2 linked regions of the Arabidopsis thaliana genome follow. The protein of the gene in region 1 interacts with the protein of each later gene in a pairwise test. Each region holds a gene or a part of one and is shown on either strand. Other genes may lie near its edges. The genes, in order: SD3 and TIM23-2.

Evidence for each region.
Region 2: the proteins of SD3 (region 1) and TIM23-2 interact in a two-hybrid assay, tested with the Arabidopsis thaliana proteins (one study listed by BioGRID).

Annotation. Positions count from the first base shown.
Region 1 is NC_003075.7:10,015-15,266, reverse strand, and holds SD3 (import inner membrane translocase subunit), read left to right. Parts: upstream 1-1,907; 5' UTR 1,908-1,981; coding exon 1,982-2,095; intron 2,096-2,307; coding exon 2,308-2,343; intron 2,344-2,457; coding exon 2,458-2,476; intron 2,477-2,560; coding exon 2,561-2,694; intron 2,695-2,826; coding exon 2,827-3,005; intron 3,006-3,087; coding exon 3,088-3,136; intron 3,137-3,250; coding exon 3,251-3,370; intron 3,371-3,474; coding exon 3,475-3,633; 3' UTR 3,634-4,452; downstream 4,453-5,252. Other genes in the region: AT4G00040 (Chalcone and stilbene synthase family protein), read right to left, coding at 1-346, 434-614; AT4G00030 (Plastid-lipid associated protein PAP / fibrillin family protein), read right to left, coding at 901-1,009, 1,088-1,153, 1,239-1,702; BRCA2(IV) (BREAST CANCER 2 like 2A), read left to right, coding at 4,903-5,056, 5,142-5,252.
Region 2 is NC_003070.9:27,381,681-27,385,337, forward strand, and holds TIM23-2 (translocase inner membrane subunit 23-2), read left to right. Parts: upstream 1-1,684; 5' UTR 1,685-1,875; coding exon of another isoform or gene 1,876-1,896; coding exon 1,897-2,463; 3' UTR 2,464-2,844; downstream 2,845-3,657. Other genes in the region: AT1G72740 (Homeodomain-like/winged-helix DNA-binding family protein), read right to left, coding at 26-110, 254-468, 858-1,007; AT1G72755 (uncharacterized protein), read right to left, coding at 1,876-1,903, 2,101-2,138; AT1G72760 (Protein kinase superfamily protein), read right to left, coding at 3,608-3,637. UniProt on the Arabidopsis thaliana protein: Essential component of the TIM17:23 complex, a complex that mediates the translocation of transit peptide-containing proteins across the mitochondrial inner membrane. Links the inner and outer membranes.

The sequences.
Region 1 (5,252 bases):
TTGGCCACGCGCAGCCCACTCAAACCTCCATAGCATCCAAGAAAATACAGCATCACTCTCTGAACCTCGTTGCTAAGGCCCAGCTGTGCCGAGAGGTAAAGATCACCTCCGGGCAAACGGAACTCACTGGAGGAAACGTAGACAAGATGAGTGATATCTTCCACTGCCCTTCCCCATTCCTTGATGCAAACCAAGCTCGCTTCATATGCCATCTGCACAACCGCATCGTTTGCAATCTCAAGCCTCTGTTTGATGGTTGGGGAACCCTCGGTTGCTAGTTCAGGGTATTTGTGCAGCGTCTCCCGTGACATGACTGTGTAGCGTGTCTTGACAGTTGTGCTTTTGCCTAACATCACCAAGACACACAAACACGCTTATCTTTGCACAAGTGCTCAAAGAAAAAAAGTTGTCAAAGAAAGTAGAGGGAAGTTACACAAGTGTTGCAGCTTGTCTTTGATAGAAAGGTTATCGCATTTGATTTCACGGAGATACTCCTCCACGAGATTCTCCTGGGAAACAACATTGCTCGGCAAGGCCTTACCGAGAGCAAGCACTGTCGCCTTCCCCTGATAAGCAACACGCTTTTGTTTCTCTACCCTTGCGGACACCAACATCTTTGTGAGTTCACAATGAAATAAGAGACAAAGGATTAGTGTTGGCCTTTTAAGTCATGGATTGTGAAAATAACATTAAAAAAGGGCATAGAAAATGTGGGTGGTGTGTTTGTAACAAACACAGACAAAAACCCTAAATAAACTCAAGGATGACACTTTGAATGATCCTTCAAATTCCTCTTCCTCCTCCTCCCTATATTCCTGCATCATCTATTTGAGGCCCAATGATAAAGGAGAGAGACAGAAATGGTGTATAACTTATACAAGAAGCAAAAAGCATCACAAATTATACAAATGATTCAGTCCAGTTATAAGGAGCACGATCAACAATTAAGTAGTCTCCTCTGATGTCCTTGGCCACTCTGATCTCACCGTCCATATACACATTCTCAAACCTGTGGAACCAAAACCCAAACTCACTCTCTTTATCTATACAAGTAGCTCCGAAGAGGAAACAGAGAGAAGTCACTCACCAGCCCTTCCCAAATGGTGGCAGTGGGAGCTCCCAGTTCTTCCCTCTCAATACCGCACTATTGAATCTGAATATCAAAAACGCTATCAACTAAGCTATGATGCTACACATTTCGATATCAGAGCGTACGAAGAAGAAGTGGTTTTTGGAACCTGAAATTGACTCTCTGCGGGGAAGCGATATCGATATCGGAGCGTACGAAGAAAACCCCGTCCGGCGGGAAAGTGATGACGTTATTGAGGATCCGTTTATTCACATCGATCACCTGCAAAACGTCTCCGGCGGTCGTCCCAAACAAGCCTGCCTTTTCTATGATGAACAACTGTTCCTTCTCCGTCGTCCACAAGAGCCGCCACGTGGCAGATAGAGAGTCGTCTGTGGTGATGGAGCTGCGCCCGATAACCGTCATGGATTCGATGGCGTTCACGATTTCATCTCGCTTCTTGGGGTCTTTCTGGGTTCTCAGACCTCGATCCTCCTCGGAGATCAGCTCAAGCAGCTTCCTCTTGGCTCGCTGTGCTGGATTCGCGAAGATCGAGCAGCTTGTTCGAAAACCGGCACGACGAGTGCGGCGGAGTGGAGGAGAACATGCCGACAGCGAGAGCGCGAGCGCCATGTTTGCAAATTGCAATTTCCATGGTTAGGTTGTTGCACGAAGAAGAAGAAGAGATACTCTGTTATTTGGGTTTCTTTTCTAAAAAGCCCATTTGGGTTTTATTTGCTTTATCTCATGAGTCTAAGCCCAAGCCCAAGGAAATAGCTTGCACGTGCGCGTCACGTGTCTACGATAAAACCCCAGCAACGGCGAGCGGCTTTGCCTTGCTCATTCAACCTCGCTCGTCGTCGTCGTCGTCTCCACTTCGATTTTTCAATCAGTAATATTGGTGGTTCAGAGATGATGATGATGAATCTTTTAAGGAGATCAGCGATAGCCATCGGCCGCCAATCAAAATCGAAACTGGCGTCGTTTTCCTCCGCTACACAACCTTGTTCCGGAATCCCAAAATCGGTAAGGCTTTCGTATTCCATCTCACTCTGCCGGCATTTCTATATAATATTGGCTAAAAGCTATTGGTTCTTCTACTACATAGACACGGATTGTTTAGGATCTTGTGAAAATTGAGGTCGTTTTTTTCAGTGTCTCTAGTCCTGTTTGAATTGAATCTCTCTAGTGTCCTTGATCTGGGGAAAACTTACAGTGTTACTTTTGTTATATATCAGTCCAAGAGGGTTTTTAGCAACTCATTTCTTTCAAAGGTATTTTCTTCCCTTTACTTGTTAAATATTTGCTTCGACAACATTTTCTTTGCTCTTTACACCCTTTTGGGCTTATATGTTAGTCTCATACCTCTCATCGTTTTTCTTATGCAGGACTCTACTGGAGCTAATGGTCAGCAGTGATAATTGTGTAATCAAACTTCAAATCCTAGTGTTGATGTGTACCTTGTTGTTCTGACAATTGTCTGTTATACAGGACTATTGTTTCGCTTCCGAAACCCGCAAGCAAGTATATGTACGGAAGCTCGTCCAAAGAACATCAACTCATCTTACTTTACCAGATCTTTTGCATCAAGAACTTCAAAAGAACCTGGGAATCAGCAGAATAAGGTGTTTCTTCCTACAAGTTTCTACTTAATGTCTACGTTATGTGTTTGCCATTTATCACAACGCAAGCCGTCAAAAGCGACAGACAGCTTCTGTCATCTAATAATGATGCTTGCTTTGCCAATTGTTTTACAGGCTAAGAAAGAGGTGACGACTGTGGAGGATCCTTTTGATTCTCCTACATACCACATCCCGGAGAAGCCGGTGACCTTTACAGAAGGTGCGTCCTACAGTCTTGTTATTCTGGCTGGGCTTGGTGTCGCTGGAGCTGCTGGCTACGGTGTGTTTAAAGAGCTCATTTTTCAACCAAAAGAGTGAGGCTTCAGAAATCTAATTTGATTTATCTGCTCAGACACTTGGATTTGAGTAATCTAAAGACACCATTATGTATTCTAGGTACAAGGTCTTTGACAAAGCCTTGAAGAGAATTCAAGATGATGGTCAGGTAATTAGAAACTAACTCTACAGATTGATCATAGCGGAGGGGTGGTGTATGAAACAAAAGCATCTGTTTATAAAATGAAACAATTTCTGTGACTGTGATTGTCTTGTTAACTAGGTGAGGGTTAGGATTGGATCCCCCATCAAAGGCTATGGACAAGAAACTAGAAACCGAGCTGCTCGTCAACGTATACCCAACAGAGTATTTACAGATGAAGACGGAGTGGAGCATGTTGAGGTATTTCATTGTAGAACCTCTATTGCGCTTGGATTCACATTCTTGCTATATAAATTGTCTAGAGTTTTGCAGGTTTAACATGATCAAAATTGAATATGCTTCAGGTAAACTTCTACATCCGTGGGCCTCAAGGAGCAGGGAAAGTGTACACGGAGATGTTTAAAGACAAGGCAGAGAAGGAATGGAAATACACGTACCTGATCGTAGAGATTTTAACACCTTCCCCAGCCAAATTGATGCTGGAGTCTTATTTGCCTGCCTAAAGCACTCGTATTTATGACTCAGCAGATCCGGAAAACATTCAGAAACGGCTTAGATTGTTTTAGTTGGGGTGTTGGAGAAAAGAGAGAGAATTGTGTTACACATGAGCTGTAGGAATGACTTCTTATCAAGCAACTGTTTGCTAATTGAAAAACAAGTCTAAACTGTGTTTATGATCCTCTTGGGGATGTCTAGGATTTTGAACCGAATTCAAGTTTGAGGCTTGATAATATTTTTATGCGTAAACATGAAACAGAGACATGGAGAATGCATATATCATGAAGCATCAAGTATACAATAGAGGCAATCATGGATCAAACGGTGTTTATGGTATCAGTAAGACAGCGGAGAATGCAACCGGGACCAACTCTCTCTCTGAGTTTCCCCGAGCCATCAAGGCTACAAACATCTCGACTACAAGGGCCAATCAAATTACATAATCACGGAAAAAACAAGGATAGATACAAGCAAACCTAACACTCGAGCAATAATTTGAGTAATAGAAACAAGAAACCAGAAATCGAAACGAAACGGAACGAAACACAAGATTTCCTAATTAATCTTGTGTTTAATTAAGAAAAGAAAACACAAAAAAGTTGAAAGGTTTAGTGGTGCATCCACGTAGCAAGACATTTTAGGTGTACGTCGACCATATTGTTGGCCGTTTATAGAGCATCATCCACTCTCCTCGACGAGCAAGATCATGCCGCCTCTGGATTCTTCTCATTCATCGGTGTTCCTGCGATCCCCTCCGTAGCACCCTCCGCCTCCTCAGCGCCTTCCCCGTGTAAATTACCGTTCTGCATGTTTAGAAATTTGACGTGGAAATTGTTGCAATGTAACTTTCTGTGATACTTGGCTATTGTTGCAATGTAATTTTCATTGAAGTCAGTCACCAATGACCATTGAACAGATGTTTTAAAATGTCCACGTAAGCAATTGTTGTTTGGAACGATTTTCGGTTAGCATTCGTGCCTTTTTTACCTCAATAAAAGGCCGTGGCATTAACTCACTTGTCTTGAGACGTTATGTCGTTAAAACCAAGCCCAAAGTTAATTTCGGCCCAAATCGTTTTCAACTTTCCCGCCGTCTTTTAACTTTTTAGATTTTTGGTGATGGTTTTGGGGGGAAAGAAAACAGAAAATATAAAAATAAAATTTCCGCACTCCCGACTCTTGGTGTGGTAGGCAATTCTGAATCGCGAGGTTTAGTTCTCCGGCTGAATCAGAGAACGACGAGTCGGAAAAATTCGAAACTCTAGAACTGAATAAATGTCGACGTGGCAATTATTTCCCGATTCCAGCGGCGATGGTTTCCGGTGGGAAGTCGCTGGCCGGATTCTTCAGTCCGTCTCGGATTCTACGCCAACCAAGGCGCTCGAATCGACAGCTCCTCTACCTTCTATGGCCGATCTCTTGCTCCAAGGTGATTCTTCGTTTCTTCCTTTTTTTGTCGAATCGTGTTTGTCATGTGACTCAAAGGAGATTGAATTATTATTTGATGCTTCAAGGATGCTCGAAGCTTATAGCACGGGAAGAAGCGATGCCTGGGGAAATCCCAATGTTCAGGACTGGGCTAGGGAAGTCTGTAGTTCTTAAAGAGTCTTCGATTGCTAAAGCCA
Region 2 (3,657 bases), on another chromosome or scaffold:
AATAGCAGAGAGAAATTTGTCAAACCTCAATGAAATGATAAATGGAACTGACATCAGATCCATTACCATCGGCTAAAGCAGAGAGAGCTTCAAATATCACCCCGTCATACCTGAAAATAGGGACATATCAGAAGTTTAGCAATACATGATGAAGATTATTACTCAGAGTTGATAGACTAGCATTTATGGAACTAGTCTCTCATCATACTTTCTGGCCTCAAGTATGAGAAATAGAGAACAAAGAAAGACAAACCTAGGAGCATTCTTTGTATTTTCATCAGGGATCAACTCAGAAGGTAAAGTACGCCGACCGGGAGGAGGTGGAATAGTAGGAATAGGCCGTGGAATAGTGACAGCATCATTTGCATCTGCAGCCGGAGTGTCGCCTTCCTCTTTGACTTTTGCTGGCCGTGCCTTATTAGTTAAACTTTGAGTACCAGGGGGAACACTCAAGTTACGCCACTTATCCTATTAAGTATTGAAACACACAAAATTTTCAAACTCTTCTTCATAAGACTACCACCAAGTAAAAGAAATCCATAGCAAAATGAAGGACAGTACTACTCTTTCCACCTCAAATCTCCAACTCAACCAAGCTAGCTTTAGGTATTGCACACTTGAATCAATAAAAAAAAAAACTTATAATCTATCCAAGGAATCTCTAATCCTATAACCAATGATAAGAGGCAACACTAATAAAACCTATTGCCAAAAGTTTTGATTTTTTATGGATCTTAAACTAAGCAGATACGACAGAGTACATAATGCACTCCGGGTTGGTCTCAAATTCGATGTCTAGGTTTAATATATGGTTCAACGAGAGTGATTTTAAAGAGGTGAGTGAAGAAAAGAGAAACCTTTAGGTCAATGTTGGAGCGATGGATGAGCTGATCAGCGAATTCTGGATCCCGGAGAATATTCTTCCACTTTCCAGGACCGTGCTTTCTGATTCCGGCGAGTAACGCCTCCTCTTCCTCCGCCGTCCACTTTAGTTTCTGGTTTCCCATCTAACCCTTGCGTGATTTACCTCGTGCTCTCTCTCTCTCTCCAAGACAATCGGCGTGTAAACGGAGTTAGACGCAGTCTCTTCGCCGTAGCTTTCGCCGGAGGTTTCGTTTATTTTTGGCTCTGCGCAGTTGTGTGACTGCGGGAGGAGGTTTCCAGTTTGCAAAACTTTTTCGATTATTTACTTCCGAATTTATGCTTTTTATTTTGTCTTCTATTTACGCTCTCGAAATTAAATCGAATTTTTTTTTTTGGCCTTTTGACTTAAATTAAAAACAAATAAGCTTTGTATTTGAATCCTTAATTATTTTATTTGAAGTTTAGTTCTCTAAATAAAAACTGATGACAAAAAAAATTCATAAAATTAGGTTCGTTCGTCGTAAAAATATTTCTGACATTATAAGAGAAACACCTGAAAATTCGAGGATGTTTGGTTGTCACGATGGATTGCAATTTTGCAAAGTAATTAAGTATGACTTTGAAAAGTCCAATGTTGAAGAGGTTAATTTTGTAAAAATTAAACTTATGGGGTCACATTCGAAATATCAGCAAATACAGTGTGTGGTGGTAAGAGAAAACCAACTTGGGTTTAAATAGAGAAAATAAAATAAATGGGGTTAAGTTCGAAATAAACGTAAACGCGAGTATTAAGCGAATCTGGTACTGCGCGTATCTGGAAACAACTGGACTGAGTCTTTCCCTAAAAACCCTAAACATAGATTTTTAGTTTAGTTTGGTTTCATTTCTCATTTCGGCAACCAAACCAAACATTCAGAGAGACACAACACAACCACATCATCACACGTTTCTCTCTCTCTCTTTCCTCTCCGTCGTCTCTCTCTCTCTAGCCACCACCAAAATCCTTAAAACCTAGACTTTTCTCTTCCATCGATGGCGGCTAATAACAGATCCGATCATGGGTCAGACGAAAACACAAGACTTTACAATCCTTACCAAAACTACGAAGTCCCAATCAACAAATCTCAGTACCTTTACAAGCTTCCTACCTCCCCTGAGTTTCTCTTCACGGAGGAGGCTTTAAGGCAACGTAGATCTTGGGGTGAGAATCTCACTTTCTACACCGGAACAGCTTACCTCGGTGGCTCCGTTGCCGGAGCTTCTGTTGGAGTCATCACTGGAGTCAAAAGCTTCGAATCTGGCGACACTACTAAGCTCAAAATCAACAGGATCTTGAACTCTTCTGGTCAAACTGGTCGAACTTGGGGTAATCGGATTGGTATCATTGGATTGGTTTACGCAGGGATCGAGAGTGGTATTGTGGCTGCCACGGATAGAGATGATGTTTGGACCAGTGTGGTGGCTGGTCTTGGAACCGGAGCTGTTTGTAGAGCGGCGAGAGGAGTGAGATCTGCAGCTGTAGCTGGTGCTCTTGGTGGACTTGCGGCTGGAGCTGTTGTAGCTGGGAAGCAAATTGTGAAGCGGTATGTGCCCATTTGAAGACTGCAAGAGTCTAATTGGCAGACTCTTTTTCGGGTCGTTGTTGAAATTTTTGATAGGGGAAATGGTGAGAATTTGATAGGTTTGGTATGTCTTGGAATCATAAAAATGAAAACTTTATTTGGTTTCTAGAGGTACAACAAGTCTGTATGTCAAGTCATAATGCAGTTTCACTTTGAAGAATAACCTGCAAACCTTTTTCTTATATTCATACTGATTAAATGTTTTGCCGATTGGTAATTTAATTTGTCATGAGTGTGTTTGTTCTAGTTAGTGTTTTATGTTTCTGTTTTTGATCAATGTTAACTCTTTCTTGATTCGTTGAGAAACTGATGTGTTGTATTACATTTGAAAATGAAGCTCTTCTCTCAAGTTTTTTCTTATCATTTTGTTAATTGGGATGGTGTAGTGTGTTCACATAATTGTATACCTCTGTTTATCTCATTGAGTACTAACCTGATATTTGATGGTGTTATTTTGTTACCTATTATATCCCCCTGGTTCTATTTCTCTGGACTGTTCTCTGCTCTTAGCTATTAATTTTGTCTCCAAGATTTCACAAGCTTATGATGATGGATCAGTCACTTTTGGTTTTGTGGTTTTTGGTTCTCAAGTCTCAGGCATATTGTGTAGCAAACCTTCTCTAAACTCTTACCGTCTCTAGACCTTATCAGCTGCTCTAAATGAAGAACAAATAGTGTCCTCTAATCTTTTTATTAAAGCCTTAAACTTTCAGTTTTGCAGCTTGCTTAGAATTTTTGTTTTGTTTCAGAAGATCATGTACCTGCAAAATGACATTTCGTCTGATTTCTTCATTCGAATGAGGGTCTTTACATCAATAAACAAGTCTTCTTTAAAGTGTAGAATTTTACATGAACAAAACTAAAAGAATGTTTCATATACAAAGATAAGGGAACTCCCCACACGCTATGGGAGATCACCCCACTGAACTCTGGAAGGAGCACAACTCATAAAAGACCAACCGTTGCCTTTGTACTTGCTTGTATGTGATCTTGGAGGTCGACTCCTTCTAGGTATAGGATGGTTACGGGTCTTAGAAGGATCAAGATAGTCGTGGATCTCAGGTACTGCCATTTTCAGCTTCTGGTTGATCTACGTCGAATTTCCATGTTTTTATCAATACTCAATATGATTTTCTCAATTCATCCTCTATCTACATGGCACAGAAATTAT